Linked DNA regions of Anolis sagrei. The protein of the gene in region 1 purifies or fractionates together with the protein of each later gene. This does not show direct contact. Links are inferred from orthologs where the notes say so. Each region holds a gene or a part of one and is shown in the gene's direction. Other genes may lie near its edges.

Region 1 (7,559 bases):
CACAGAAATGCTGGACCACTCTCACAACCATCATGTCAGATTATACAGCCATTGAAATTCACAAGCATGTGGAAAATTTCAACAAAAAGGAGGAAACCATGAAAATGAACAAAAACTGGCTACTAGTATTAAAAAAAACTCTAAAATCAGGACAGTAAATAAAGAACAACACTCAGAAAACAGAGGAATTCCAGACATGAATCAATCAGGGCCAGCTAACATCTTCCAACAAAGGATTCCCCCAGGCAGGAAGCAGCCAGACCTTGAAGCCGAAAGGCTTTTCAATGCTAAACAGGGTGGCTAATGGCAACATTCACACCTGCCTCCAACAGACAAGAGTTCTTTCTCCCACCCTGAGCATTCCACAGATATACAGGGTGCGGCAGCATAACTTCCTTTTTTAAAATGCGTGCCATTCAGTCGGTTGAAGACGTAGTGGAGCGCTAGTGGTCTCGTTCGAGAGGCGGGAGTATAAAGTTTTGTCCTGACACAGTTCAGTTGCTATCATGCATTGGAACAGTGAGGAGCGTGCTTTTGTCGTTGAGGCCTACTTTTCGAGCGGATTTGGAGTGGCCGGCCCGCTCTCCAGATTTGGCCCATTGTGATTTTTTTCTGTGGGGTTTTTTGAAATCCCGTGTTTATGTGAACCGTCCAAGGACCCTCCAAGATTTGAAGACCAACATCCAGGAAGAAACTGCCAACAGAACGCCTGCTATGGTGGCAAGAGTCAGCAACACTAGAAATCGGTTTACTCAGTGTTTGGAGAATGGGGGATGTCACCTACCTAATTTGATCTTCAAAACTACGTAAAACAACACTTTAGGTATGTGCCTACACTATAAAAAAAATAAAAAAAATCTGATTCATACAATGGGTTTTATTAAGTTTTGAAAAAAGGAAGTTATGCTGCCTCACCCTGTATAAACTCCAATTACCTAGTTTCCAACAGACCTCACAACCTCTGAAAATGCCTGCTGTAGATGTAGGTGAAATGTCAGGAAAGAATGCTTCTGCAACATTACCCTACAGCTCAGAAAACTCACCACAACCCAGAGATTCTGGCCATGAAAGCCTCCAGCAACACAATGATGAATCATTTGGAAAGCTCTGGTTGTGAGAGTGACTGGAGGAGAGGAGAAAAAGTTGGATGCAGACCAATCACCACCTTCAAAGAAGTCCTAAATCGCATGGTATCTACAGGAAATAATCAGAAATAACCTTGTTCTCTGCTGGGACCTGAGACCTATGAAGGGTTCTCCATGTCCTGTTTGCAACGCTTGGCTGCCAGGTCCTCATTGTGGGCTTTGCGAATGTGCCGGTAAAGGTCGCCGGACTGCGTGTAGCTCCGCATGCAGTAGCGGCATTCGTAGGGCCGTTCCCGTGTGTGGACGGTGGCGTGGCGCCGGAGTGTGTAGGAGCACGAGAAGGTCTTCCCGCACGTCTTGCAGGTGGGCACATCGTCGGTAAAGATGCCGAAGCTGGAGTGGGACTCGAAATCCGGCAGGTACATCTGTTCATGGAGGGGCGGCGTCACCATGTTCGAGAAGCTCTGCCCGCCAGGCATGGGGATCATGTGATACGGGAGGTGCTCTTGGGACAGGAAGCCGCTTTCCGACGTCACTTCGTCTATCCCAGCAGGGTCTTCAAACGTGTCCAAATGGCGCCCACATCTTCCAGGGAGCGCTGTCTCTGAGGCAGACCTTTGGAAGATGCTTTCCAATCTGAACTCTGCGCCCTGTCCCTCCAGTTGCTCTGTCGCATCAGACTCCTCGTCGGAAATCACAATGGCTTCCACTTTGACCTTGACAGACGGCCGGTTTGTTTCCTTCTGACAAAATGTGTCTGTCCTTTGCTCCAAATACCCCTCTGGAGCGTGGTCTGTGTTAGAAGAACCTTCATTTGCTAGAGAAAAGCTATTGTGTGGGATTGTTTCAGTGGAACTGCTGGGACTAGAGAAAGAAATGTCAATCACGGGTGCTTGTGGTGGCTTTGTTGGCAGCGTGATTTCCATGCCTGGCTGCGTTGTATCTGCCACATCCAAAGTAGAGGCCGCAGTTTCCTCCAAAGCAACCTTCTCTCCTCCTTTCCACTCCTCTTTTTTGTCACTGTCTTTCTGACACAGGGATGGCAATGGGAAGGGCTGAGGCTCAGGCATCGGAGGCTGAAACTTGGAGGTACTGGGCAGAAGTTCTGAATTGCCCGGGGCCTCCTCTTCCCGCTTGGTGCTGTCCGCTTCAGTCAACGCTCGGGCCTGAAGCTTCTTTTTGCACACCTTAACAATGTCATTCATGTGCAGGTAGCTGGCCGCTGCCAAGACATCCTCGACTGGCATGTCGTTGAAAGACAGGCTGCCTTTGTACATGAATTCCAGCAAGAGTTCGAATGCCGGGGCAGTGACGATCTCGTTGTTGATGGACACCACGTCCCGCTTGTCCAGGCGCTCCTTGTAGAACATGTGGAAGAAAGTGCTGCAGGAGGCCAACACAGCTCGGTGGGCCAGGAACTGGGTACTGCCCACCAGGACGGTGCAGTCGCACAGGAAGCCATCATGCTGCTGCTCCCACAAGCTCCGCAGCACGTTCTGGCTGTGGTTGGGGAACTCCATGCCGAGGCCTCTCTCACGGTCGTTGGGCGTTCAGTGGCATAGCTCAGCCTCCTTTGGGACAGCAAGAGAAGACACTTGGTAACTTTAAATAATAATAATAATAATAATAATAATAATAAATAATAAACTTTATTTGTACCCCGCTACCATCTCCCCAAGGTGCGGCTTACATGAGGCCAAGCCCGAAGTACATCAAACAAACATCAATAGCACAACATTAATCAACAATCAATAAAATACAAATCATATAAATCACATAACAAAAACAACAATCAATAATGACATATTAAAAATGGTCGGGCCAAATGTAATAGATTAAAATTGAGAATATGCTGATGTGAACAGGTAAAATGTAACTGGGGTCGGATTTTTCAGAGAGAAACGAGGGAACGCAATCCATCCTAAGTCAGTATTTAAGAAATTACACTGCTTAGCCGGTATTGCACCACCTGACATCCGCCGGGAAGTAGCAGCCAATAGTGAAAGGACCAAGGCAGAGACATCTCCAGCTCATCCCCTGTTTGGATATCAGCCAGCACGTCAACGACTCAAATCAAGACATAGTTTTCTTAGATCTACAGAGACACTCGCTGGAACACCCCAGCAAGCGAGAGTCCAAAAGTGGCAGGCCCAAACCCAGCACCTCAATTCATGGCTGATACCAGATGAGAGACTCCCTTCTGGGCACACAGAGGACTGGGCGACTTGGAAGGCACTGAACAGACTGCGCACTGGCACCAAGAGATGCAGAGCCAACCTTCAGAAATGGGGCTACAGGGTGGAATCCTTGGCATGCGAGTGCGGAGAAGAGCAAACCACTGACCACCTGCTGCAATGCAACCTGAGCCCTGCCACATGCACAATGGAGGACCTTCTTGCAGCAACACCAGAGGCACTCCAAATGGCCAGATACTGGTCAAAGGACATTTAGCCAAATACCAAATTTGCAAAATCTGTGTGTTTTTTTCCCTTTTCCCTTTTTAATCTCTGTGTTTGTTTTGCTCTGTTAGAATTGTAATACAATGGTTGCTGATGACACGATAAATAAATAAATTAAAGTGCATTGTGAGGACATATTGCTGAGAGTTCTCCTTATTCTGGGAAGGCACGCCGGAACAACCACGTTTTCAGGCTCCTCCTAAAGACTGCCAGGGTTGGGGCATGCCTAATGTCCCTGGGGAGTGAGTGCCAGAGTGGAGGGGCCACCACCGGGAAGGCCCTCTCCCTCGTCCCCCCCCAAGGGCGCCTGCGAGGGCGGTGGGAGCGCGAGTAGGGCCTCTCCAGGGGAGCGAAGAGATCCTGTGGGTTCGGACACAGAAACAGGCCGTTTGAAGGGCCTGACCCAGGCATGGGCACACTTTGGCCCTCCAGGGGTCTCGGCCTCCAACTCCCACAATTTCTCTCAGCAGCGGCCTGTGGTTCGTCCGTCCAGTCACTTCCGATGCTTTTGTGGCGTCGTGGGCCCCCATTTCCCCCCATCTCTCAGCCCCCACGAGCACCCCCAGCCGGCTCCCCCCGCCCCCGCCCTGCCCGAGACCTCCCTCGCCCCAGAAGGAAGAGGCCCCCTTCCCAGCCCCGACACGGTGCCAGCAGCGCTTCCCTCTCTTCCGACGGGGCGCGCCGGGCGGAGAGGGAGCCCCTCGATTCCCCCCACTTACCCACCACAAAGCAGAGGCCCCGAGGGACACGCCCCTTTCGCCTGATTGGCTGGCACTCTCTGTCACTCTCCGCGACAGCCTCTCTTCCTCCCCCCCGCCCCCTTCGCGGGAATGTTTTCTCCTCCATCTGTCGCTCTTGAAGGGGAAGGAACTTGCTGCGTTCTGTCTCGCCATTGGTCAAGAAATATCACCATCTGTGTCCTACATTCCGATTGGAGAAGCCTCCTAGCGAGGTGAAACGTCACTCACTGTGAGTTTGCAACGGTTCAAATACGAAGGGATCACGGGAGAAGGTGCTGTTCCTTTAAGGAGGAGGGCGCTCCGACCGGCGCAGCCAATCAGGAGGAAGCTGGTTTACAGGAAGGGAAAAGGTGGCTGTTGGAGCTGGGAGCATGTTTTATCATGTAAGTTAATGGCCGGAGCTGTATTTAAAGCATCTAAACGACTAATGTATTGTCGAAGGCTTTCATGGCTGGAATCACTAGGTTCTTGTAGGTTTTTTCGGGCTATAGGGCCATGTTCTAGAGGCATTCTCTCCTGACGTTTCGCCTGCATGTATGGCAAGCATCCTCAGAGGTAGTGAGGTCTCTTAGAATTAGGACAATGCGTTTATATATCTGTGGAATGGCTGGGGCAAAGAGCTCTTCTCTGCTGAAGCTAGGTGTGAATGTTTCAGCTGACCACCTTTATTAGCATTTGACGGCCTGGCTGAGCCTGGGAAAATGTTCTGTTGAGAGGTGTTAAGATGTGCCTGGTTGTTTCCTCTCTGCTGTTTTGAATTCGACAAGAATATGGCAAGCTGGCTGCATGCTTATTAGGAGTGAAATTGGGTGCATCTACATTGCAGAATTAACCCAGTTTGACCCCACTTTTGCTGCAATGGCTCAATGATATGGAATCCTGGAAGTTGTAGTTTCCCAAGGCCTTTACTTTTCCCTGCATTGAGCGCAGGCAGATAAAGTAGGGTCAAGCTGCATGATCAGCATGACCCTACTTGACCCAGGAAGTCATGCTCCCCATGCTCTATTCTGCTTTGGTTAGACCACACCTGGAATATTGTGTCCAATTCTGGGCACCACAATTCAAGAGAGATATTGACAAGCTGGAATGTGTCCAGAGGAGAGTGACTAAAATGATAAAAGGTCTGGCGAACAAGCCCTATGAGGAGCGGCTAAAGGAGCTGGGCATGTTTAGCCTGAAGAAGAGAAGGCTGAGAGGAGATATGAAAGCTATGTATACATACATGAGAAGAAGCCACAGGGAGGAGGGAGAAAGCTTGTTTTCTGCTTCCTTGGAGACTAGGACGCGGAACAATGGCTTCAAACTACAAGAGAGGAAATTCCATCTGAACATGAGGAAGAACTTCCTGACTGCGAGAGCTGTTCAGCAGTGGAACTCTCTGCCCCGGAGTGTGGTGGAGGCTCCTTCTTTGGAAGCTTTTAAGCAGAGGCTGGATGGCCATTTGTCAGGGGTGATTTGAATGCAATATTCCTGCTTCTTGGCAGAGGGTTGGACTGGATGGCCCAAGAGGTCTCTTCCAACTCTTTGATTCTATGATTCTATGATTATCTTGATACGACTATTATAATGTAATAAATTGTATGCTCATATAATATTGATTGTAATATTGTAATACAATATAATAATATAATAATAATGTATTATATATTACATTTAATATTACTAACAATATTACAGTATAGTCATACAGTACAAAATAGTAATATATAATACTAATATTGTGCTATGCTAATAATATAATATATTGTATGTACATATACTTTGTAAGTCGCTCTTAATCCCTTTTGCAGTGAGAAGGGTGGGATATAAATGTCATAAATAAATAATAATTTTTGGTGGGCATTTTAAAAAAATAATTATTGTATAATACATAGAAACGTGCCATCTTTGAAATTAACATTCAAAATACCAGTATTTTCCCCAATCCCACCACCACTACAACCCCATCATAAATAAATAATAAATAAATATTGGGTTGTTGCATGTTTTCCGGGGTATATGGCCATGTTCCAGAAGCATTCTCTCCTGACATTTCACCTGCATCTGTGGCAGACATCCAGAGGAGCTCACAACCTCTGAGGATGCCTGCTATAGATCCAGGCAAAACATCAGAAGAGAATGCTTCTGGAACATGGCCATACAGCCCGAAAAACACACATCAAGCTAGGATTCCGGCCATGAAAGCCTTCTATAACAAATAAATATTATTATATTTATCATTAAAGAAAAGAAAGGTTTTCACCTGGTTTCATGGAGTCAAAAGGAAGACTGCCCATTAAATATGCTGCCTACATATTCACAGGTATTGTGTAAGCATCTGAATGCCAATTGCTATAGGGAAACATCAGGGGATGATGTTTGTGAGTCTCCAGGAGAATGTGACTGGCTCTTCCTTATGCCCTGAAGTAGTTGGAGTTTTCTCTGAACTGTTTAAAGTTCTTGTTATTTATTTAGTGGGCGCTAACCCCTGTATTCTCTTCCTCCAGATATCTTTGGAGCATGAAATTTTGCTGCATCCACGTTACTTTGGGCCTAACCTCCTCAACACTGTGAAGCAAAAGCTGTTCACCGAAGTGGAGGGGACCTGCACTGGAAAGTAAGTAAAAGTGGCTAGAGATTATCTTTTCCCATTGAACTTGCTTGTATTATTATTATTATTATTATTGACAGCTCTGCCCAGATAATTGAACAGTTTTGTGTGTGGGTTATCTCCAAGGCCACTACTTGGGTTTTCAAGTAGAACGGCATTAAATCATTATGCCCTCTCCTATAATTATTATTAGTATTATTTGATACACAACAAGATCTGTACACAACATACAAAATCACTATGCTGGCTTTTGTATTCAATCACATGTTGTACACTTCCCAAGTGTCTACGACTGTGTGATGTATCAGTGAATTATGTGTGCAGATCCTAGTTGGGTGGCCTTTTGCAGCTGACAGATGGCAATTTTGTCAGCTCCCGATTGTTTTTAAGTGCAGGTCAAGGTCTTTAGGCACTGCACTCAATGTGCTGATCAACACTGGGACCACCTTGACTGATTTGTGCCAGAGTCTTTGCAGTTTGATCTTTAAATCCTTGTTCTGTGTAAACTTTTCCAGTTGTTTCTCATGAATTCTATTATTATTATTTGTTACCTGTAATTAAAGCACACAGGTAAAACACAACAGCATTTAAATACATACATTAAAATACATAGGACGAAAATTAAAACACAAATACCAACACAGATAGTTCCCAAGTTACAAAGAAAATTCTGTAGGTTTGTTCT
Region 2 (6,892 bases), about 6.9 Mb from region 1:
AATATTCCAGTATAGTGGTATAGGGTAATATATAATACTAATATTGTGCTATGCTAATATAATATATTGTATGTATGTACACATAATATTTATCATAATATTGTAATACAATATAATAATATAATAATTATATATTTTATATTCCATGTTATATTATTAATAATACTGCAGTATAGTGGTTTAGCACAATATAGTAATATATAATATGAATATTGTGCTATGCTAATAATATAATGTATTGTGTGTACATATAATATTGATCATAATATTGTAATACAATATAATAATATATAACAATTATATATTTTATATTACACGTAATATTACTAATAATATTGCAGTATAGTGGATCATAATATTGTAATACAATATAATAATTAATAATTATATATTTTATATTACATGTTATATTATTATTAATACTGCAGTATAGTGGTTTAGCACAATATAGTAATATATAATAGGAATATTGTGCTATGCAAATAATATAATATATTTTATGTACATATAATATTGATCATTATGTTGTAATACAATATAGTAATAATATACAACAATTATATATTTTATATTACATGTTATATTACTAATAATATTGCAGTATAGTGGTATAGTGCAATATATAATACTAATATTGTGCTATGCTAATATAATATATTGTATGTACATATAATATTTATCATAATATTGTAAAACAATTAAATAATTTTATTTTTCACATTACATGTAATATTACTAATAATATTGCAGTATAGTGGTATAGTGCAATATAGTAATATATAATACTAAGGTTGTGCTATGCTAATAATATAATATATTGTATGTACATATAATATTGATCATAATAGTGTAATACAATATAATACTATAATAATGTATTTTATATTACATGTAATATTACTAATAATATTGCAGTATAGTGGTATCGCACAATATAGTAATATATTATATATATTATATAGTATATTATATAATATATAGTATATATATAATATATATAGTATAATATATTATATATAATATAGCAATATAGTATAATATAATATATTATATTTACATATAATATTGACCAAAATATTGTAATATAATACAATAATTATATATTTTATATCACATGTAATATTGCTAATAATATAAGATATTGTATGTACATATAGTATTGATCATAACATTGTATATAATACAATATAATAATTAAATATATATCTTATATCACATGTAATATTACTAATAATACAACAGTATAATGGTATGGTGCAATATAGTAATATATAATACAAGTATTGTGCTATGCTAATAATATATTGTATGTATATATAATATTGATCAAAATATTGTAATACAATATAATATGTAATATTACGAATAATACTGCAGTATAATGGTATGATGCAATATAGAAATATATAATACTAAGATTGTGCTATGCTAATATATATTGTAATATTCTTAATAATATTGAGTATAGTGGTATGGGACAATATAGTAATATATAATACTAATACTGTGCTATGCTAATAATATAATATATTGCATGTACATGCATACATACCCTTCGGGTGAGGTATAAATGTCATAAATACTTCCATATAATCCAGTTCAATCTGCATTCTGAAACAGGATTATATGGCAGTGTAGATGGGGCCTAATGTTCTATTTCGCACCTTCTACTCATTGGAAGATGCCTTTCGCCATCAATTTGACGCAATGGAGCAATGGCTTCAAACGACAGGAAAGGAGATTCCACCTGAACACGAGGAAGAACTTCCTGACTGTGAAAGCTGTTCAGCAGTGGAACTCTCTGCCTCAGGGTGTGGTGGAGTCTCCTTCTTTGGGAGCTTTTAAACAGAGGCTGGATGACCATCTGTTAGGAGTGCTTTGAATGTGATTTCCCTGCTTCTTGGCAGAATAGGGTTGGACTAGATGACCCACCAGGTCTCTTCCAACTCTAGGATTCATAGATCCTTTAAAAACAGACATTTTTACTATTGTTTACCTTTAAAAAAACAAAAGATTGAGAAATAAACACTAGTACAATTGGGGGAAAAAGTCTTGAAGGAGCCTCAAAAGTGCACTCTGATCTTTTTCACGTGTTTTCGTAAATTTGGGTTCAGCCACACTGGAAGATTGATGCGGTTTGACACCACTATGGCTCAATACTATATGAAACTGGAGTTTTGCGCATGCGCAGAGGCGTCCTCCCCTTTTTTGAGTCTTTAGTCCGCGCATGCTCTAAAGCACAGCTGGGTTAGGTTAGCAGCGCATGCGCAGTTGTTTCATTTCTTCCCACTGCTGCGTTTGAGTTCAATGCCGCCTCCTTTTCATTCTCGCGTTCTATTCGCAGCCTCATTGGAGGAGCGCGTTCTCATTCCGCTTTCCTATTGGTTACTCCGAAAGTAGGCGGGCAAGGTTCCACCAATAAGGGTCCGGCAAACGCCACCTTTTGGCTGCTTCGTCAGCCTGAGCAATCGTTCCTTTGGCCTCCTTGGGCACGTGGTTGGGATCTCTTGCGCATGCGTAGCGTGGTTGCCAGGCTAAATGATTGATTGGTGGAGTGGGCGGGGCAATGGGCAAGATAAATTTTCCATTGGGAAGAGATAGAAAATTTTAACGGGGGGGAAATTGCTGTTCTTCCTTTTGAAATGTGCATTTTCCTACCTGTATTAAATATTTTAAAATTAAATATTGTTTATTAAATTGAATATTTTGATATTATTTCAATTTATTAAAACATCAAATATGGGAAATACTAGAAATATTTTAAAACATTTTAATCTATTGAAATATTTGTATTAAATATTTTAAAAATTAAAATTGTTTATTAAATTTAATATTTTAATATTTAAATCCAATATTATTTAAAATTAAATATTAAAAACATTTTAATCTATTGAAATATTTAAGATGGCAAATACTAAAATATTAAAATATTAAATTTAATATTGCTCGCCAGTACGCCTGCGCGGGGATGGAAGCGAAGGGTGGGCGGAGCTTGAGCAAAGGGGCGGGGCCGACTTTTTTTCCCTTTGGAAGAACTTCAGCGCTTGGGAGTCTCTTGCTCGTCAGTGCGCCTGCGCGGAGATTGAAGAGAGGAGTGGGGCGGGGCTTGAAAAAAGGGGCGGGGCCTACTTTTCTCTTTGGAATAAGTTTAGCGCTTGGGAGGCCAGTGCGCCTGCGCGGGGATGGAAGCGGAGGGTGGGCGGAGCTTGAGAAAAGGGGCGGGGCCTATATCTTTCCCTTTGGAATAACTTCAGCGCTTGGGAGTTTGGAAAGCCAGTGCGCCTGCGCGGGGATGTAAGCTAAGGGTGGGCGGGGCTTGCAAAGGGGCGGGGCCTATTTCTTTTCCCTTTGGAATAACTTCAGCGCTTGGGAGTTTGGGAGGCCAGTGCGCCTGCGCGGGGATGGAAGATAAGGGTGGGCGGGGCTTGCGAAAAGGGGCGGGGACTACTTCTGTTCCCTTGGAATAATTTCAGAGCTTGGGAGACTCTTGGTCGCCAGTGCGCCTGCGCGGGGATGGAAGCGAGGAGTGGGCGGGGCTTGCAAAAAGGGGCGGGGGCTACTTTTCCCTTTGGAATAACTTTAGCGCTTGGGAGGCCAGTGCGTCTGCGCGGAGATGGAAGAGAAGGTGGGCGGGGCTTGCGAAAAGGGGCGGGGACTACTTCTTTTCCTTTTGGTATAACTTCAGCGCTTGGGAGTTTGGGAGGCCAGTGCGCCTGCGCGGGGATGGAAGATAAGGGTGGGCGGAGCTTGCGAAAAGGGGCGGGGCCTACTTTTCCCTTCAGCGCTTGAGAGTTTGTGAGGCCAATGCGCCTGCGCGGGGATGGAGGCGTGTGCGAGAAAGGGATTGAACCGTCCCCCGCGCCTGCGCAGTGAGGGTTCCAAAAGCGCGCCTGCGCACTGACGCGTCTTCTCCCCTCCCCTCAGCGGCGTTGCTTGTGCGACCGATGAGGGGAGGCAAAATGGCGGCCGGCGGTGGCGGCAAGGCCTCCTCCTCCTCCTCTTCGTCGTCGTCCTCGTCGTCCTCGTCTTCCTCCTCCTCCTCGGCGGCTGCGGCGCCTTCCTCCTCCTCCTCCGCCTCGTCGTCTTCGCTGGAGGCCTCGCTGGACAGGAAGCTGCAGGCCGTGACCAACACCATGGAGTCCATCCAGGGCCTGTCGTCGTGGTGCCTGGAGAACAAGCGCCACCACCACGCCATCGTCCGGCACTGGATCCAGAACCTGCGACGAGGTGAGGCCTAGGAAAATGAGGGGCTTCGGACAGGACGCTAGGCCGCAGGCCCCGCCCACGAGGCACACTCAAGGATATCAGGGTGATGATGATAATAATAATAATAATAATAATAATTGGGTTGCTGTGAGTTTTCAGGTCTGTCTGTCCACTTTCCCAGCAGCATTCTCTCCTGACGTTTCTCCCCCATCTATGGCAGGCACCCTCAGAGGTTGTGAGGTTTCCAGGTCTGAAAATTCACAGTAATTATTATTATTATTATTGTTATTATTATTATTATTATTGGGTTGCTGTGAGTATTCAGGTCTGTCTGGACATGTCCCAGCAGCATTCTCTCCTGACGTTTCTCCCCCATCTATGGCAGGCATCCTCAGAGGTTGTGAGGTTTCCAGGCCTGAAAATTCACAGCAACCCATTATTATTATTATTATTATTATTATTATTATTATTATTATTGGGTTGCTGTGAGTATTCTGGGCTGTCTGGACATGTCCCAGGAGCATTCTCTCCTGACGTTTCTCCCCCATCTATGGCAGGCATCCTCAGAGGTTGTGAGGTTTCCAGGTCTGAAAATTCACAGCAACCCATTATTATTATTATTATTATTATTATTGAATTGCTGTGATATAATTGTGATAATAATAATAGGGTTGTGACATAATTGTGATAATAATAATAATAATAATAATAATAATTGGGTTGCTGTGAGTTTTCAGGTCTGTCTGGCCTCTTTTCCAGCAGCATTCTGTCCTGACGTTTCTCCCACATCTATGGTAGGCATCCTCAGAGGTTGGGAGGTTTCCAGGTCTGAAAATTCACAGCAACCAATTATTATTATTATTATTATTATTATTGGGTTGCTGTGAGTTTTCCTGGCTGTCTGGCCATGTCCCAGAAGCATTATCTCCTGACATTTTGCCCACATCTATGGCAGGCATCCTCAGAGGTTGTGAGGTTTCCAGGTCTGAAAATTCACAGCAACCCAGTAATCTTCTTCCCTGAATCTACAATTTGGTGATGGATCTGGGCATTGTATGTTTTTACCCTGTTTCCCCTTCTGCTCCCTCACCCATATTGTGCTTCTGTAGTTATATTTATATTTTTAATGTACCAAACATACCAAGTTTGTATGGAAATGTGACTATTTCCTGTGCTGGTCAATGACCGAAATAAATGATTTGATTGGTTTTAGGTTGCTGTGATATAATTGTGATAATAATAGGGTTGTGACATGATTGTGATAATAATAATAATAATAATTGGGTTGCTGTGAGTTTTCAGGTACCTCTGCCCACATTCCAGCAGCCTTCCCTCCTGACGACATTTCAATAATAATAATAATAATAATAATATAAACGGTCCCTTTTTTCTGCACCAACAAACTGCATGTTGACATCTCACCGGGTAGGCTGCATCTATATTGCAGAATTAATGTGTGGCTTGTTGTGAGTTTTCTGGACTTTCTGGCCATGTCCCAGAAGCATTCTCTCCTGATGTTTTGCCCACATCTATGACAGGCATCCCCAAAGTTTGTCAGGTCTGTTGGCCAAATCCCCAAAACAGCCTTACCTTTGGGTTGCTGTGAGTTTTCAGGTCTGTCTGGCCACTTTTCCAGCAGCATTCTCTCCTGATGTTTCGCCCACATCCATGGCAGGCATCTTCAGAGGTTGTGGGGTTCCCAGGTCTGAAAATTCACAGCAACCCATTATTATTATTATTGGGTTGCTGTGAGTTTTCAGGTTTGTCTGGCCACGTTCCAGCAGCATTCCCTCCTGACGTTTCGCCCTCATCCATGGCAAGAATCCTCAGAGGTTGAAGGGGGGGGGGGGTCTGTTGGAAACTAGGCAAGCAAGCATCCTCACTCTCTCTATTATTATTATTATTATTATTATTATTATTATATTGTTGTGAGGCCTGTTGGAAACTAGGCAAATGGGGTTTATATATATCCCTGTGGAATGATGTCCAAAGCGGGAAAAAGAATTCTCATCTGCTTGAGGTATATGAATGTTGTAATTGGCCACCTTGATTAGCATTGAATGGCCTTGCAGTTTCAAAGCCAGGCTCCTGCCTGGGGAAATCCTTATTATTAGATATAATAATAACAGAATATTATGTTATTATTTTTTATTCATTCTTTCTGTGTGTTGTCAAAGGCTTTCATGGCTGGAATCACTGGGTTGCTATGAGTTTTCTGGGCTGTCTGGGCATATTCCAGCAGCATTCCCTCCTGACGTTTCGCCCACATCCATGGCAGGTATCCTCAGAGGTTGAAGGGCTTTGTTGGAAACTAGGCAAGCATTGCAAAGTCTTGCAGCTTCAAAGCCTGGCTGATTTCTGCCTGGGGGGAATCCTTTGTTGGGAGGTGCTGATGTTTTGGAAGAGATTGGGAGACGGATGGCGAGAGGGGGGGTATTAAAGGCTTCCTTTTCTGCCCCTTTGGCTCCCATCATCTAGTTTTGTTGTTGTCGGTTACTGCCTCCAAAGTCCAAAATATCTTCCTTCAAAGTCCGAATACCTGCCTTCAAAGTCCAAATACCTGCCTTCAAAGTCCAAATATCTGCCTTCAAAGTCCAAATATATGCTTCCAAAGTCCAAATATATGCTTCCAAAGTCCAAAATATATGCCTCTTTAACCCTCTAGGGCAGGCAGGGGCCAACTTGG
Region 3 (7,888 bases), on another chromosome or scaffold:
ACCTCCGAAAAAGCCCTGAAGCCCACAACACATCACAAACTGTGTAATGCAATTGTGGATTAATTTATTTGGGGCTGTAAAGCTGGCTTCTTGGTGGCTAAACTACACAAGTACAGTTTGTTGTGATCTGGAGTAGACAGAAAGCGGGGAAAGGTTTTTACGTTCACCTTTCTGTATCTAAGGAATGAGCAAATCGGTATAAAAGATTCCGATGGAAACATGTGGTATTATTATATCATTATTATTTGTATGCCACTTTTTCTCGCTTAAAATGAGACTCAAAAGTGGCAAATGACGCTGAAAACAACCAGGTAATGCTTAAAGACAACCTATGCTATAAATCTGGGTGCCAAGCTGAAGGCAGGCAGAAAAGAGTTGGTCACATTAGCCCTCTGGATGTCAGGGAAGCAGAAGGGCTGGGCAACAATGTTTTCGTTTGAGCAGCTTGGAAAAGTTACTTTGTTGAACTACAACGACCAGCACATTGTCAGCCAGCAAGGCCTGGGAGTCTAACTGAGCTAAATGGGGCTCCTGAAGTTTTTGTCTCCACAGTGTCAGGGGAACCCATTTTTCTTTTCTGGCTCCTGAAGTGAAACCCAGATACAATCCCCAATGATCCCCAAGTTCTAGTCCTCCAGGTGTTTTGGACTTCAACTCCCAGCATTCTCAGCTGCCTTGGCCAATGATAAGGGATTCTGGGAGCTAGAGTCCAAATGATAGCCCCATGGGCATATACTGCAGGTTGCTTTGAGGGTTCTTTGAAGAAGGAAGCCCATCCATGTTTTGGAGGGTAGATCTCTGCTGCAGAACGAATGCAGCTTGACACAACTGGGCTCAATGTGATGACATCCTGGCACCAGTCCTCTTTGACAGAGAAGGCTGAAGGCATTGTAAAACTACAGCACCTAGGAGTCTATAGGACAGAGCCAGGGCATTTATTCGACGGTGTAAATCCGGCATGGGCAAACCTTGGCCCTCCAGGTGTTTTGGACTTCAATTGTTTCTGTCTGCAGACTAATTCAACCAGAGAAGTCAACCACAGCAGAGTACTTGATGAACCAACCTGAACACAGCATATTATTGGAGAACACAGAAATGCTGGATCACTCTAACAACTGTGTAGTCTGACTACACAGAGAAGCCACTGAAATTTCAACAGAAAGGAGGAAACCATGAAAATTGACAAAATCTGGCTACCAGTATTAAAAAAAAAACCCTAAAACCAGGACAGTAAATAAAGAACAACACTCAGAAAACAGGGGATTTCCAGACAGAAACAATCAGGGCTAGTTAACACCTCCCAATAAAGGATTCCCCTAAGCAGGAAGCAGCCAGGCTTTGAAGCTGCAAGGCTATTCAATGCTAATCAAGCTGGCCAATTGCAACATTCACAGTTGCCTCCAACACAAGAGTTCTTTCTCCCACCCTGGACATTCCACAGATATGTAAACCTCACTTGCCTAGTTTCCAACAGACCTCACAACCTCTGACGATGCCTGCCACAGATGTGGGTGAAACGTCAGGAGAGAATGCTTCTGGAACATGGCTATACAGCCCGGAAAATTCACAGCAACCCTATATATATATATATATATATATCAATCACATTAATAATATTATAATGCAATACAATATAATACTATATAATACTTATATTGTGCTATGCTTGTGTGTATGTGTGTGTGTGTGTATATATATATATATATATATATCTGTCTCAACGTATCTCAGCGTACCAGCCCGGACGCTAAGATGTTCTGGGGAGGCCCTACTCTCGGTCCCGCCCCCTTTGCAGGTGCAGCTGGTGGGGATGAGGGACAGGGCCTTCTCAGTGGTGGGCCTTCAGCTCTATAACTCCCTTCCTAGTGAAATCAGATTGACTCTCTCCCTCCTGTCTTTAAAAAGTTAAAACTTGGCTATGGAACCAAGCATTTAGAGAGTAGTACAGGGCAACATGCAGCTATGGAGTGATTTTTTGTGTGTGTGTCAGGAGTGACTTGAGAAACTGCAAATCGCTTCTGGTGTGAGAGAATTGACAGTCTGCAAGGACGTTGCTCGGGGACAGCTGGATGTTTTGATGTTTTACCATCTTTGTGGGAGGCTTCTCTCATGTCCCCGCACGGGGAGCTGGAGCTGATAGAGAGTTCATCCACACTCTCCCCGGATTCGAACCTCTGACCTGTAGGTCTTCAGTCCTGCCGGCACAGGGGTTTAACAAAGTGAATGGAATGTAATGTAATTGTAACGGATTTTGGATTATGATTTTGAGTCTACATGCATTGTTTAACAGCTTATTTAATGTATTTATATGCTATTGTTTTTATGATTTTAATGCACAATGTATTTTTGTTTGTATTTTTTTATTTTTAATGTGGCATTGAATATTGCCAAATTGGAAGCTGCTCAGAGTCCCCTCCGGGGTTGAGAGAGAGCAGGGTAAAAATGCAGTAAATAAATATTATAATGTAATACAATAATTATATAATATAATATATTCTAATATTCTAATATAATAGTACTAATATATGAAATAGAATACTACTGATAATATATAATATAGAATTATAATACAGTTTGTTGTATATTTGTATATTTTAAGTTATAATGTTTTTAATTGTGTGCTACTTTGAGCCTCCATATGGAGAGATAAAGCGGGATGTAAATAAACAGATGCATCTCGATCTAGCCATGGTGATGCATGCTTTAGTCAAATCCTGTCTGGACTACTGCAATGCTCTGAACGTGGGGCTGCTTTTCAAGATAGTTTGGAAGCTTCAATTAGTCCAGAGATCAGCAGCCAGACTATTCACGGGAGCGCCATTCAGGGAGCAGACAACTCCCATGTTATGACAGCTCCACTGGCTGCCAGTCCACTTCGGGGCTACATATAAAGTGCTGATCATTACCTTTAAAGCCCTAAACAGTTCAGGCTCAGACTATTTGACAAACCACACCCCCACTCATAAACCAGACACTATCATCGGAGGGAGCCCTCCTCTTGGTCCCATCCCCCGTCACAAGCGCAGCTGGTGGGAACGAGAGGGAACGATTCTATGGGAATCAGGACAGCCCCATCACTCCTCTCCTTTTAAAAACCCCCAATTACAAACCTATTTTTACACTTTAGCCTTTGGAGAGGAAGATGACTAGTGTCATTGATTTCACTTCATGTCACAACGCTGACAGTAACTGCCTTAACTTATTGGAGAGCCACACCTCATCTATATTATTTTTATACAGGTTTTACCTGCTTAATGTGTTATTTATGAGGCCTGATTGATAATGTTTTAGCCAAGGCTGTTTTATCTTATCCTATTTGTGTATTTTAAATCTGTTTATTTTAATTGGACTACTTGTTGGTTCTATAATGTACCCTTGGTTAATTATGCTTTTAAACTGCCAATATTTTAAACATTGCCTTTCAATGGCAAGGATCCTGAATGAAGTCTGTGAACTAAACATGTAACAAATGTGAAGTTTTCTTTTTTATAATTTATACTGTATTTTACACTGTCTTGTTATATATGCCAATAAAGGCCTATTGGATAGGTTGGTTTTACCTTATTACTGCATCTCCCATTGAATGTCTGCCAATTGTTTTTTGGAAGCTGTCCTGAATCCCTTACGTGGAGAGAAGGCGGGTCAGAAATAAAGTTTATTATTATTATTATTATTATTATTATTATTATAAATACACCAAGACTAGTACCTAGCAAACAAGATCACTCTGCTTGCTGTTGTATTGGATCACACGTTGGACACTTCCCAAGTGTCTAGGACTGTGTGATGTATCGACAAATAATGCATGCAGATTCGAGTAAGGTGGCCTTTTGCTGCTGACAGAGGGTAATGTTGTCAGTGCCTATTGTGTTTAAGTGGAGACCAAGGCCTTTAGGCACTGCACCCAGTGTGCCGATCACCACTGGGACCACCTTTACTGGCTTGTGCCAAAGTCTTTGCAGTTCAATCTTTAAATCCTTGTATTGTGTCAGCTTTTCCAGTTATATCTCTTCAATCCTACTGTCGACTGGGATTGCAACATTATTATTTGAAACACAACAAGATGAGACCACAGCAAACAAAATCAGTCTGCTGGCTGTTGTACTGGATCACACGTCGGACACTTCCCAAGTGTCAAGGACTGTGTGATATATTGGCAAATAATGTGTGCAGATCCCAGTAGGGTGGCCTTTTGCAGCTGACAGATGGTAATTTTGTCAGCACCGATTGTGTTTAAGTGCAGGCCAAGGTCTTCAGGCACTGCACCCAGTGTGCCGATCACCACTGGGACTTTGCAGTTCGATCTTTAAATTCTCGTATCGTGTCAGCTTTTCTAGTTGTTTCTATCCAATCCTGCACATCATCATCATCATTATTATTATCCTAGAACTCTCTTGGTCATGCTGTTTGGGCCTCCAACTCCCAGAAGCCCTGGGAGCTGGAGACATTCTGGTCGAACATTCTGGGAGTTGGAGGCCCAAACAGCTGGAGGGCCAGAGATTGAGGAGGGCTTTGCCCTGGTTCTCCAGTGTGACTCTGGAGTCAACCTCCCGCACTTGATCGGCCAGGGCTCAATGCGATGGGCTCCTGGGAGTGGCAGTTTGCGGCATCCTTTCGCAGAAAAGACCTCTCTTACCCAGGCAGCCTCAGCGAAGGGGGCGGCAGCTCTTCCTCCTCCTCCGACCGCCCTCCCAAGCGGCACATGCAGCGCTCCCAGCAGCAGCCCAGTTCCAGGCGGATGGAGGCCAGAAATCCCGAAAGCGAGGGACTTCTCGCGAGAATACACGTTTGTTCGCCTCCTTGCTCGAGGAGGAAGTGAGCCGCGCAGGCGCAGTGCCATCCCACCTTGGCCCCTCCTGCCTTGTGGGCGGGGCTAGCGGACGCCCTGAAAAAATAATAATAAGGGAAATGCCCTGCTCTGCGGTTCTTGTCGTTGCCCACCCCCTTCCGTCGTGGAGGAAATGACGTGCAAAGCCTTGCATGCAGGCGAGAGGACTCAAAGGAGGCATGGGCGACGGGTAGCCCTTTGGTCCAAACTAATCCGGCGTCGTCGCTGGGCGAGAGGTTGCGATGCCTCGCTTTGCCCAGCTCGTGATGGGCCCTGCGGGGAGCGGAAAGGTGGGCCAGCTCCTGTCTCGTTGGTGTAGGGCAGGTACGGGCAAACTTCGGCCCTCCAGAAGTTTTGGACTTCGACTCCCACAATTCCTGGCTCAGGCCCTTTCCTTTCCCCCCTCAGCCGCATAAGGAAGGCTGAGAGGAGATATGATAGCCATGTATAAGTATGTGAGAGGAAGTCATAGGGAGGAAGGAGCAAACTTGTTTTCTGCTTCCTTGGAGACTAGGATGCAATGGAACAATGGCTTCAAACTACAAGAAAGGAGATTCCATCTGAACATGAGGAAGAACTTCCTGACTGTGAGAGCCGTTCAGCAGTGGAACTCTCTGCCCCGGAGTGTGGTGGAGGCTCCTTCTTTGGAAGCTTTTAAACAGAGGCTGTATGGCCATCTATCGTGGGTGATTTGAATGCAATTTTCCTGCATCTTGGCAGGGGGTTGGACTGGATGGCCCATGAGGTCTCTTCCAACTATGATTCTATGGAGGGCCGAAGTTTAAGCGGCTGAGGGGGAAAAGGAAAAGGTCTGAGGCCAGGAATTGTGGGACTTGAAGTCCAAAACCCCTGGAGGGCTGAAGTTTACCCATGCCTGGTGTAGGGGATACTATTGTATTGGGTTGCTGTGAGTTTTCCTGATTATATGGCCACATTCCTTGATTTGTGTTTGGGCAATGCTGCGTTTGGGGGTCCCTCTGTAGACTTGTTCGCAGCTACATGGTAAACGGTAGACTCCTGCAGAGGTGAGAAGATCCCTCTTGTCCTTGGATGAACGTAGCATTTGTTGGATTTTCTTAGTGGGTCTGCAGATAGCTTGTAGGTTATGTTTCTTCATTGGAGGAATCAAGGAACATGAAAGGCACTGCAGACTGATCCAACCAGATAAATTAGCCATAGCAGAACACTTGGTGAACCAACCTGGACACAGCATATTATTGCAGAACACAGAAATGCTCACTCTTACAAACTTACCATGTTAGACTACACAGAGAAGCCATTGAAATCCATAAGCAGGTGGACAATTTCAACAAAAAGGAGGAAACAATGAAAATGAATAAAATCTGGCTCCCAGTATTTTAAAACTCTAAAATCAGGACAGTAAATAAAGAACAAAAAAAAAAGAGGATTTCCAGACAGAAACAATCCAGGCCAGCTAATACTTCCCAACCAAGGATTCCCCCGGACAAGAAGCAGCCAGGCTTTCAAGCTGCAGAGCCATTCAGTTCTAATCAAGGTGGCCAGTTGCAACATTCACACTTGCCTCCAACACACAAGAGTTCTTTCTCCCACCCTGGACATTCCACATATATATAAACCCCACTTGTCTAGTTTCCAACAGACCTCACAACCTCTGAGGATGCCTGCCATAGATGTGGGTGAAACATCAGGAGAGAATGCTTCTGGAACATGGCCAGGCAGCCCGGAAAACTCACAGCAACCCAGTGATTCCGGCCATGAAAGCCTTCAACAACACATTACTGTTGTGTTGTTTTAAATACACTAGAGTACAAGAAAGATAATCGTGAGAAGAAGAAGCATACCCATGAATACATACATAACATTCTTAACAATAGCCATGAAAGCATAGATGTCTTAGAGAGGGCGTGAGCTTGGCCTGTTGTATTGGGGCAAGTTCTTCCAGATTCCCTGGATGCATTTCTTTCTTTGCTTTTACAGAAAAGTCTCCCTACAGAGAAAACATTCACAAAACGTAGGACCCTTCCACACAGCTATATAACTCAGAATATCAAGGCAGAAAATCCCCCAATATCTGCTTTGAAATGGGTTATCTGAGTCCACACAGCCATATATTCCAGCTCAAAGCAGAAAATGTTGGGTTTTATTCAGCTGTCTGGAAGGAGCCTCAGTTTAAAATATGTTTATTTTATATGTATTATTATTATTATTTGTTTATTTCTATCTCGCATTTCTCCATGCAAGGGGATTCAAAGTGGCTTACAACCTGTAAAATCAGACAGTTACAGTAAAAAAATACAACAAAAATCCCCATGTGACAATTAGCAATGTATATGTATATATTATTTTTATTTCATACATTCATGTGTTTTATACATTCTAAAGAAGGGAGCAGCCCCACAGTGTAAAGGACATAAAAGCACCCCTGTTATAAAAGGCATCTCAGGCCCCTTCTACATTGCTCTCTATACCAAGATCTTATCCCAGATTATCCGGCCATGTAGACTCATGTAATCCAGTTCAAAACAGATAATCTGGAATCAGTTCTTAGGGTATAGGGTAGTGTAGAAGGGGCCCCACTGTTGCTTTTGAGGGGGTGATCTGCCCCTGTTTTGAGACCCTCATCTTCACTCACTGTTTAATGCAGTTCAATGCCAGTTTTGAACTCTGACGGCCAGACTCTTGGAAAGAAAGGATCTTTCTCCCCAGACGGTAATGGCTTGATTGCTGATTTCTGGTCCCACAAGGGTGGGACTGGAGACGCTTGATGTCTTTCCCTGTGTTTCATTTCAGAGCACCTACTGCTCCACAATGGTCCAGCACTGCGAGACCCTGAATCGCTCAGTCCAAGTGGTGAACCTGGACCCCGCAGCTGAGCACTTTGACTATCATGTCATGGCAGGTCAGACCAAGCATGCCTTCCCTGCCCCTTGACAGCATATTGGTTGGCAACTATTATTTATTATTTACAGTATTTATATTCCGCCCTTCTCACCTCTCAGGGGACTCAGGGCGGATTACAGTGTACACATATATGGCAAACATTCAATGCCAATTTGACATACAACGTATACAGACATA
Region 4 (7,523 bases), on another chromosome or scaffold:
TCAGGAAGGTCCTTTGTCCCACAGATTATGTCCCATCACTGGTTCTCACACAAGTTGAGGAAGGGGCATCTGGAGTTGCTCAAGAGAGGTGACTAGAGTTCATAGGTTCATGAACATTTGCCTTAATTTCATAGAAGAGCGTCCATGTGGTGCTTGTTATGGACTCATAGCGAGAGGGAAAGGGTGTGTATGTGTGAAGAATGAGGGTTCATGTGGTGCTTTTGCTGTACTGGTTTATATTTATCCCCTGCATTCTTGGATACATTCACAGAAGGCCAAGAATAAAAAATAATATTTTTTGTCGTGTCAGGAGCGACTTGAGAAACTGCAAGTCGCTTCTGGTGTGAGAGAATTGGCCGTCTGCAAGGACGTTTCCCAGGGGACGCCTGGATGATTTGATGTTTTATCATCCTTGTGGGAGGCTTCTCTCATGTCCCCGCATGGGGAGCTGGAGCTGATAGAGGGAGCTCATCCGCCTCTCCCCGGATTCGAACCTGTGACCTGTCGGTCCTCAGTCCTGCCAGCACAGGGGTTTAACCCACTACGAGATACATAGTATTGGGTGATTGAAGTGTTTCAGATACATTGGCTTGCGTGATGGAAGTGTTTCAGATACATTGTAACTGTCCATCTTCCTTCTAGGCTGAGAAGGAGGGAGGAATGAGCTGGGCGATCTCTGCTGAAGCCTCCAACATCCACTGGAGTGATCCAGCTTGTTGGTCAAATGGGCTTATTAACAAAAGACCCTCCCCATGAATGTATAGCAGAGTAACTTACTAGCAGCAGTTTTTAATATTTCTGTCATGGCTTGGGTTATGCTGCTGAGCTGGGGTTGTGTGCCAATGTGCGGGGGATTGGGGCCTATGGAGTGTGGGCTGCTAGTGGTCCTTGGGAGGTTCAAGGGCGGGTCATAGGGATGGAGCCCATTTCCCATTCATCTGGCCTTCTGTCCTTGGAAAACTACAATTTGTGCACCAAACTATGTCTTATTTTTATTTGGGAAGGGGTTGGGGATTTTCGATAACACTTTCAAAGTCCTTTCTTCCAGCTTTATCCAAATTTAAGACACAAATAAGGACCTCCTCCTTTTGGAAAGCCTACCGAGTCAATTTTGAACTATGAATTTTAAATCTGCATTGTATTAGTAGTGAAGGGGATATCTTTGAACTATATATTTTTAATATTGGTATATTTGTAACCATGTGTTTTTTAATTGTGTCTGGATTCACACTGCCATATACAATCCAGATTATCTAACCTGAATGGAATTATATGGCAATGTAGACTCATATAATCCAGTTTAAAATAGATCATGTGGATTATCGGCTTTGATCATCTAGATTATTTGGCAGTGTAGATCCAGCCAAAGTCAAGCACTGCCCACAAATTCTTCCAAAATGTACTTGTTTGGATTAGGATTGATTGGAATGTGATTATAGTTTGAATACAGTGTAAGATTTCCTCTTAATTGTTGATACTATAGATCAGGCATGGGCAAATTTTGGCCTTCCAGGTGTTCTGGACTCCAACTCCCACAATTCCTAACAGCCTCAGGCCCTTTCCTTTTCCCCCTCAGCCGCTTAAGGGCCTGAGGCTGTTAGGAATTGTGGGAGTTGGAGTCCAGAACACCTGGAAGGCCAAAATTTGCCCATGTCTGTGATAGATATTATTATTGCAATATTTTAAAAAAAGATATTGTGTAGATAGAACTGTAGTGATAAACATAGTATCACACAATGGCCAGTAAAGTGGGAGAGAACTACATCTCCCACCATGCCAAGAAGCAAAGAATGAATGGCATCTCTTCTCTAACAATCCCATTAGTGTCGCCCACACTCTGGGAAGTGAGTTTTGGACTTCACTTCCCAGAATCCCTGATCATCAGCCAAAGCAGCTGAGGCTTCTGGCAGTTGAAGTCCAAAACACCTGGAGGACTAGAGTTTGAGAAGCCCTGCCAGAAGAACTTGTCTCATTGCAAAGTGTAGCTTTATCCTGATGAATGACATGAAATATTGGTCAAGGGAGGCTAGAAAAAGGAGCAAAAACAGCACGACTTTATAGGCCGGAACTACAATTCACGTGATGCAGAGGTCTGAGGAAGTGATGCTCATAGTACAAAGAGATATATCAATGTGGAAGCATTTCATGCCACCTCCATTTCCGGTTTCTATTAGACATCTCAATTTACAAATTGAGCTATACCTGAAATGCTTGAGACCAGAGAGTTTTTGGATTTCCGCCCCGGATTTTGGAACATTTGCATGTATTTAATGATATAGTTTTGGAGGTGAGACCCAAGATACCTCATCAAATTAATTTATGTTTCATACATACCCCCAGTGATGCAGTGAGCTGCTGAGCTTGTTGACTGAAAGTTCACAGGTTCAATTCTGGGGAGCGGCGTGAGCTTCTGCTGTCAGCCCCAGCTTCTACCATCCTAGTAGTTCGAAAACATACAAATGTGAGTAGATCAATAGGTACTGCTCCGACGGGAAAGTAACGGCGTTCCATGCAGTCATGCCGCCACGAGTCGCCCTAGGGCTGAGAGTGGCGGTCAATAAGTGCAAAATAATGACCTTGAAGATGTCTACGGACAATGCCGGCTCTTCGGCTTGGAAATGGAGATGAGCACCACACCCCAGAGTTGGACACAACTGGACTTAGTGTCAGGGGAAAACCTTTAGCTTTACCTCATGCACACTTTATACAAGCTGCCCAACCATCATTTTATGCACATCATTTTTAATAATTTGTGAATGAAGCAAAGTTTGTGTGCATTGAACCACCAGAAAGCAAAGGTGTCACTCCTTGCAGTCATCCATGTGAACAATCTTGAATTTTGGAGTATTTTGGCTTTCTGGTTAAAGTATACGCAACTGGTATTTAAAACACTAAAACTTTTTTGGGTGGGGATTTGGAAGAGTTAAACTTTCTTTATCATTGTATATTTAAAAATAGGCCCCTTCTATACTGCCATATAAAATCTGGATTGTCTGCTTTGAAAAGGATCTTTGCCTCTAATATCCTTCCCTCCAGTAAGCAGTTGGGCTTTATTTCCTAGCGTATGGACTGGTTTGATCTTCTCACAGTCCAAGGCACTCTCAGGATTTTTCTCTCAACACCACACTTGACAATAAGTCTAGTCATGTCCGATTCTGGGAGTTGGTGTTCATCTCCATTTCTAAGCCGAAGAGCCAGCGTTGTCTGGAGATGCTCCCAAGGTCATGTGGCCGGCATGATTGCATGGAACACCATTACCTTCCTGCCTAGAGCTGTACCTATTGATCTACTCACATTTGCATGTTTTCGAACTGCTAGGTTGGCAGAAGCTGGGGCTGACAGCGTGGTTCACTCTGCTCCCTGGATTCGAACCGGTGAACTTTCAGTCAGCAAGTTCAGCAGGTCAACGGTTTAACCCGTTGTGCCACCATGGGCCCTATTGTACTATAGTGCGATATTATTAGTAATCTATATAAATAAAAATGTAATGTTTGTTTGTGGGATTAACATAACTCAAGAACCACTGGAGGAATTGACACCAAATTTGGACAAAATACATGTATCAGGCCAACAAGTGACCATCACTCATAAAAACACTGAAAAACACTGCAGAAGAGATTTTAAAAGTAAAAAAAAACCCACATTACAGCTCATGTGCATAACCATATATACATATACACATGCAAACAGACACATATACATATATACACAAATATATACACACACAAAGCACATACACACAGACTGGGCCACAGCAACGCATGGCAGGGGATGGCTAGTATAATATATAATAATTATATTATATATTATTATATTGTACTATATTATTATATTGCACTTCCCGTATGATTGAACATTAAAAGTTAAAAACAATCTATATTATTATATTGTGCTATATTATTATATTGCAGTTTCCATATTATTGAACATTAAAAGTTAAAAACAATCTATATTATTATGCTGTACTATATTATTATATTGCACTTTCTATATTATTGAACATTTAAGGTTAAAAACCATCTATATTATTATATTGTGCTATATTATTATATTGCACTTTCCTTATTACTGAACATTAAAAGTTAAAAACAACCTATATTATTATATTGTACTATATTATTATATTGCACTTTCCATATTACTGAACATTAAAAGTTAAAAACAATCTAAACTTCCCCATATGGCAGTGTAGACACAGATAATCCAGTTCAAAGCAGATCAAGTGGATTATCTGCTTTGTAGAAGGGCCTTGATCTGCATGCTGCAACTGGATGATATGGCAAGGCAGCTCCAGCCTGAAAAATTCCATCCAAACGACTGGAGACTCGGGAACCTGAAATGTCGTGAAACAACCAAACCTAGACCTAGGCTTTCCTCTTGGGCTTCGGGCGGCACTGCGGAAGCGGCCTCCTCCTCGCTCTTGGCCCCGCCCGTCTCCGGCACTCCGCCTCCCGTCGGCCCCCGCGCCGCTTCCAGGATGACGCGAAGGTCTTTCCGGGAATCGTAGTCCTCTCTCTGGCTGCGCGTCGCTAACTGCCGCCAGCGAGGGACTACATTTCCCAGAGTGCCACCGAAGTCCTGTGGCCCCGCCCTTCCCGCAGTCGGGCCGAGAGGAGTAAAATGGCCGCCGCAGAGGCCGGGCCCGGGCAGACTCGGCGGCAGTGGCCGCGCCTCCTCCTCCTCCTCCCGCTTTTCTTCCCGTTCTCCTGAAAGTGGGCGGGCGGAAGGGCCTACCACCCGGAGGAGCCGGGTAATAATGGCAGCTCTCTTTGCGGGGGAGGGAGGGAGGGAGGCCGCGGGGAGGGCGGTGCAGCTTCCCTGGGCGACGCTGGGGGTCTGGTCTTGTTTTCTCCTGAGGGGAGGCCGAGGGGGTGCGCGTAGTGCAGGCGAGAAGGCGAAACGGGGAAAGAGCGTTTCCCTGTCAGGCAAGGGGAGGGTCGGGGAGGTAAACCCGCTTGGGATCGTGGCCCCATCTGCACTGAGCAGTTAACGCAGTTTCAAAGCGGTATGGAAGAAAGTGGTTTCGCCCTGCAGTCGATTGCATAGGAAAATCCTGGAAGCACATTGACACCCCTTCTCCCCTTGCATATGATCTACGTTATGTGGATTATCTGCTTTGAACCGGATTATATGAGTTTACGTTGCCATATAATCAAGATTATCAAAGCAGATAATCCACATTGTTTGCTTTGAACCGGATTATTTGGGTCTACACTGCCATATAATGCAGATTATCAAAGCCGATAATCCACATTGTCTGCTTTGAACTGGATTATATGAGTCTACACTTCCATATAATACAGATTTAATAATCTGTATTGTATGGAAGTGTAGACTCATATAATCAACATTATATGAGATAATCTACATTGTCTGCTTTGAACTGGATTATATGACTACACTTTCATAGTCATATAATTATTAAATCTGTATTATATGGAAGTGTAGATTCATATAATCGACATTATATGAGATAATCCACACTATCTGCATTGAACCGGATTATATGAGTCTACACTGCCATGTGATCCAGATTATCAAAGCAGATAATCCACATGGTCTTCTTTGAACCGGGTTCTGTGAGTCTACACTGCCATATAATCTATGTTATCAAAACAGATAATCCACACTATTTGCATTGAACCGGATAATATGAGTCTACACTGCCATATAATCCACATTATCAAAGCAGATAATCCACATTGTCTGCTTTGAACTGGATTATATGAGTCTACACTACCTTGTAATCCACATTATCAAATCAGATAATCCACATTGTCTGCTTTGAACTGGATTATATGAGTACATACTGCCATATAATTCAGATTTTCATATCAGATAATATACACTATTTGCTTTGAACCGCATTATATAAATCTACAATGCTATATAACCCACTTCAGTGAAGATAATCTGGATTTCATATGGCAGTGTAAATGGGGCCTGAGGCCCATAAACCACAGATGCGCATTGAGGGCTTTCTTTCTTTTTGTGCTTCTGTGGGAGTTGGTGGTTTGAAGTGAGCTGCATTAATTGTTCAGTGTAGACGGGGGCCCTATGTCAGTCATGGCTTGTTACTTTGTGCCTGTGTCTCTTTGCCTCTTCTACACTGCCATATAATCCAGCAGATAATCCACATTTTCTTTTTTGAACACGATTATGTGAGTCGACATGGCCATATTAAGCAGTTCCCAAAACGGATAATCTGGATTTTATATGGCAGTGTAGAAAGGGCTTACGTGGTCCTCACTTTGGTCCATTTCAGGGATTGTGATGTCTGTGGAAGTAAAAAGGGATGAGATGTATATGGATATAACCCTTTGGAGATTTACCTGGATTTTAAATCCCAATGGAACCCATGAGATTGAATTTCCAGGTCCACAAGGCCTTTCTTATTTGAGGGTGTACCTACACTGTGGAATTAATGCCGTTTGGTACCACTTGAAGTGCCAGGGCTCAAGACTATGGAGTCTTTGGAGTTAAAGTTTTACAAGGTCTTGCACCTCCTCTGCCAAAGAGGCCTGGTTGCTCACCAAACTACACCACCCATAATTCCATAGCATTAAGCTGTGACACTGAAAGTGATGTCAAACTGTATTCGTTCATCAGTGCAGATGCACCCTTTGAAAAGGAAAGTGGGCATTTTAGGGGCTTCTAGACTGTGAACTTTGAAGTGTTTGAGGGCATAGAAATCTATAAAGGAAAAACAGGGCACCCCTTATATTTTGGATGTGATGTTTTGGAGGTGTTTGAGCAAATTATCAAGAACTTCAGGCAAGGAGTGGATTGTGGCAGTGGGATGTTAATTGGAATTGGAGGTGCAATTTTTCTGGAGGAGACAGAATTGGATCAATATAGGATAATTGAGTTGGAAGACACCCCAAGGGCCATCCAGTCCAACCCCATTCCGTCAAGCAGGAATACAGAAAGCATTCCTGGCAGATGGCCCTCCAGCCACTGCTTAAAAACCTCCAGAAAAGGAGACTCTCCCACCCTCAGAGGCAGCAGCATATTCTGCGTAAGAAACCTCCTTTTTCCAGGTCAGAATGTTTGTCCAGCAATGTCAATATTGTCTCATCAATGGATGGACAACTTGTAGGTCTTTAGATGTTGTTGACCTGGAATTCCATTAGCACTTTTGGCTGATTGGTCAAGAGTTGCTACTCTATAATATCTGGAGGGCTGCCTTTCCCCTCATCCCTGGGCTGTTCTGTTGATTCTCATACTTTTCCCACTTCCTGATCTTTTGACTGGGCGACAAAATCTTTACTGAGCTAAAGTAGTGAATAATGTAGGAGATGATATACATTGCGGGAGTTGTAGGTCTGAGAGGCAGTTTTGATGAAGGAGAATTGTGTTGACTGGATAAGGAGTGGGGAGAAAAGGTAAGGCATAAAAGCAACTCAAATTTCAAAGTGGTCAAGTTGAAAGTGACGAAGTGGCATGACGAGTATTGTTTTAAGTGTTATCAGTGTGATGATTGGAGTAAAAAGTTCAGAGTGGAACAACAACATTCAAAACAA

Evidence for each region.
Region 2: the proteins of POLR2G (region 1) and RPRD2 purify together in Homo sapiens (affinity purification with mass spectrometry; 3 studies listed by BioGRID and IntAct, counting the BioPlex papers as one, with this or other methods). This does not show direct contact. The link is inferred for Anolis sagrei from reciprocal best matches to the Homo sapiens genes POLR2G and RPRD2.
Region 3: the proteins of POLR2G (region 1) and GPN3 purify together in Homo sapiens (affinity purification with mass spectrometry; 3 studies listed by BioGRID and IntAct, counting the BioPlex papers as one, with this or other methods). This does not show direct contact. The link is inferred for Anolis sagrei from reciprocal best matches to the Homo sapiens genes POLR2G and GPN3.
Region 4: the proteins of POLR2G (region 1) and SCAF1 purify together in Homo sapiens (affinity purification with mass spectrometry; 3 studies listed by BioGRID and IntAct, counting the BioPlex papers as one, with this or other methods). This does not show direct contact. The link is inferred for Anolis sagrei from reciprocal best matches to the Homo sapiens genes POLR2G and SCAF1.

What each region holds. Positions count from the first base shown.
Region 1 is NC_090032.1:12,908,772-12,916,330, reverse strand, and holds the start of POLR2G (DNA-directed RNA polymerase II subunit RPB7), read left to right. Parts: upstream 1-4,536; 5' UTR 4,537-4,655; coding exon 4,656-4,667; intron 4,668-6,770; coding exon 6,771-6,880; intron 6,881-7,559. Other genes in the region: ZBTB3 (zinc finger and BTB domain-containing protein 3), read right to left, coding at 1,244-2,605. UniProt on the Homo sapiens protein: Core component of RNA polymerase II (Pol II), a DNA-dependent RNA polymerase which synthesizes mRNA precursors and many functional non-coding RNAs using the four ribonucleoside triphosphates as substrates.
Region 2 is NC_090032.1:6,033,849-6,040,740, forward strand, and holds the start of RPRD2 (regulation of nuclear pre-mRNA domain-containing protein 2), read left to right. Parts: upstream 1-3,890; 5' UTR 3,891-3,944; coding exon 3,945-4,227; intron 4,228-6,892.
Region 3 is NC_090034.1:42,354,027-42,361,914, forward strand, and holds the start of GPN3 (GPN-loop GTPase 3), read left to right. Parts: upstream 1-4,872; 5' UTR 4,873-5,070; coding exon 5,071-5,118; intron 5,119-7,600; coding exon 7,601-7,709; intron 7,710-7,888. UniProt on the Homo sapiens protein: Small GTPase required for proper localization of RNA polymerase II (RNAPII). May act at an RNAP assembly step prior to nuclear import.
Region 4 is NC_090026.1:29,332,466-29,339,988, forward strand, and holds the start of SCAF1 (splicing factor, arginine/serine-rich 19), read left to right. Parts: upstream 1-4,509; 5' UTR 4,510-4,750; intron 4,751-7,523.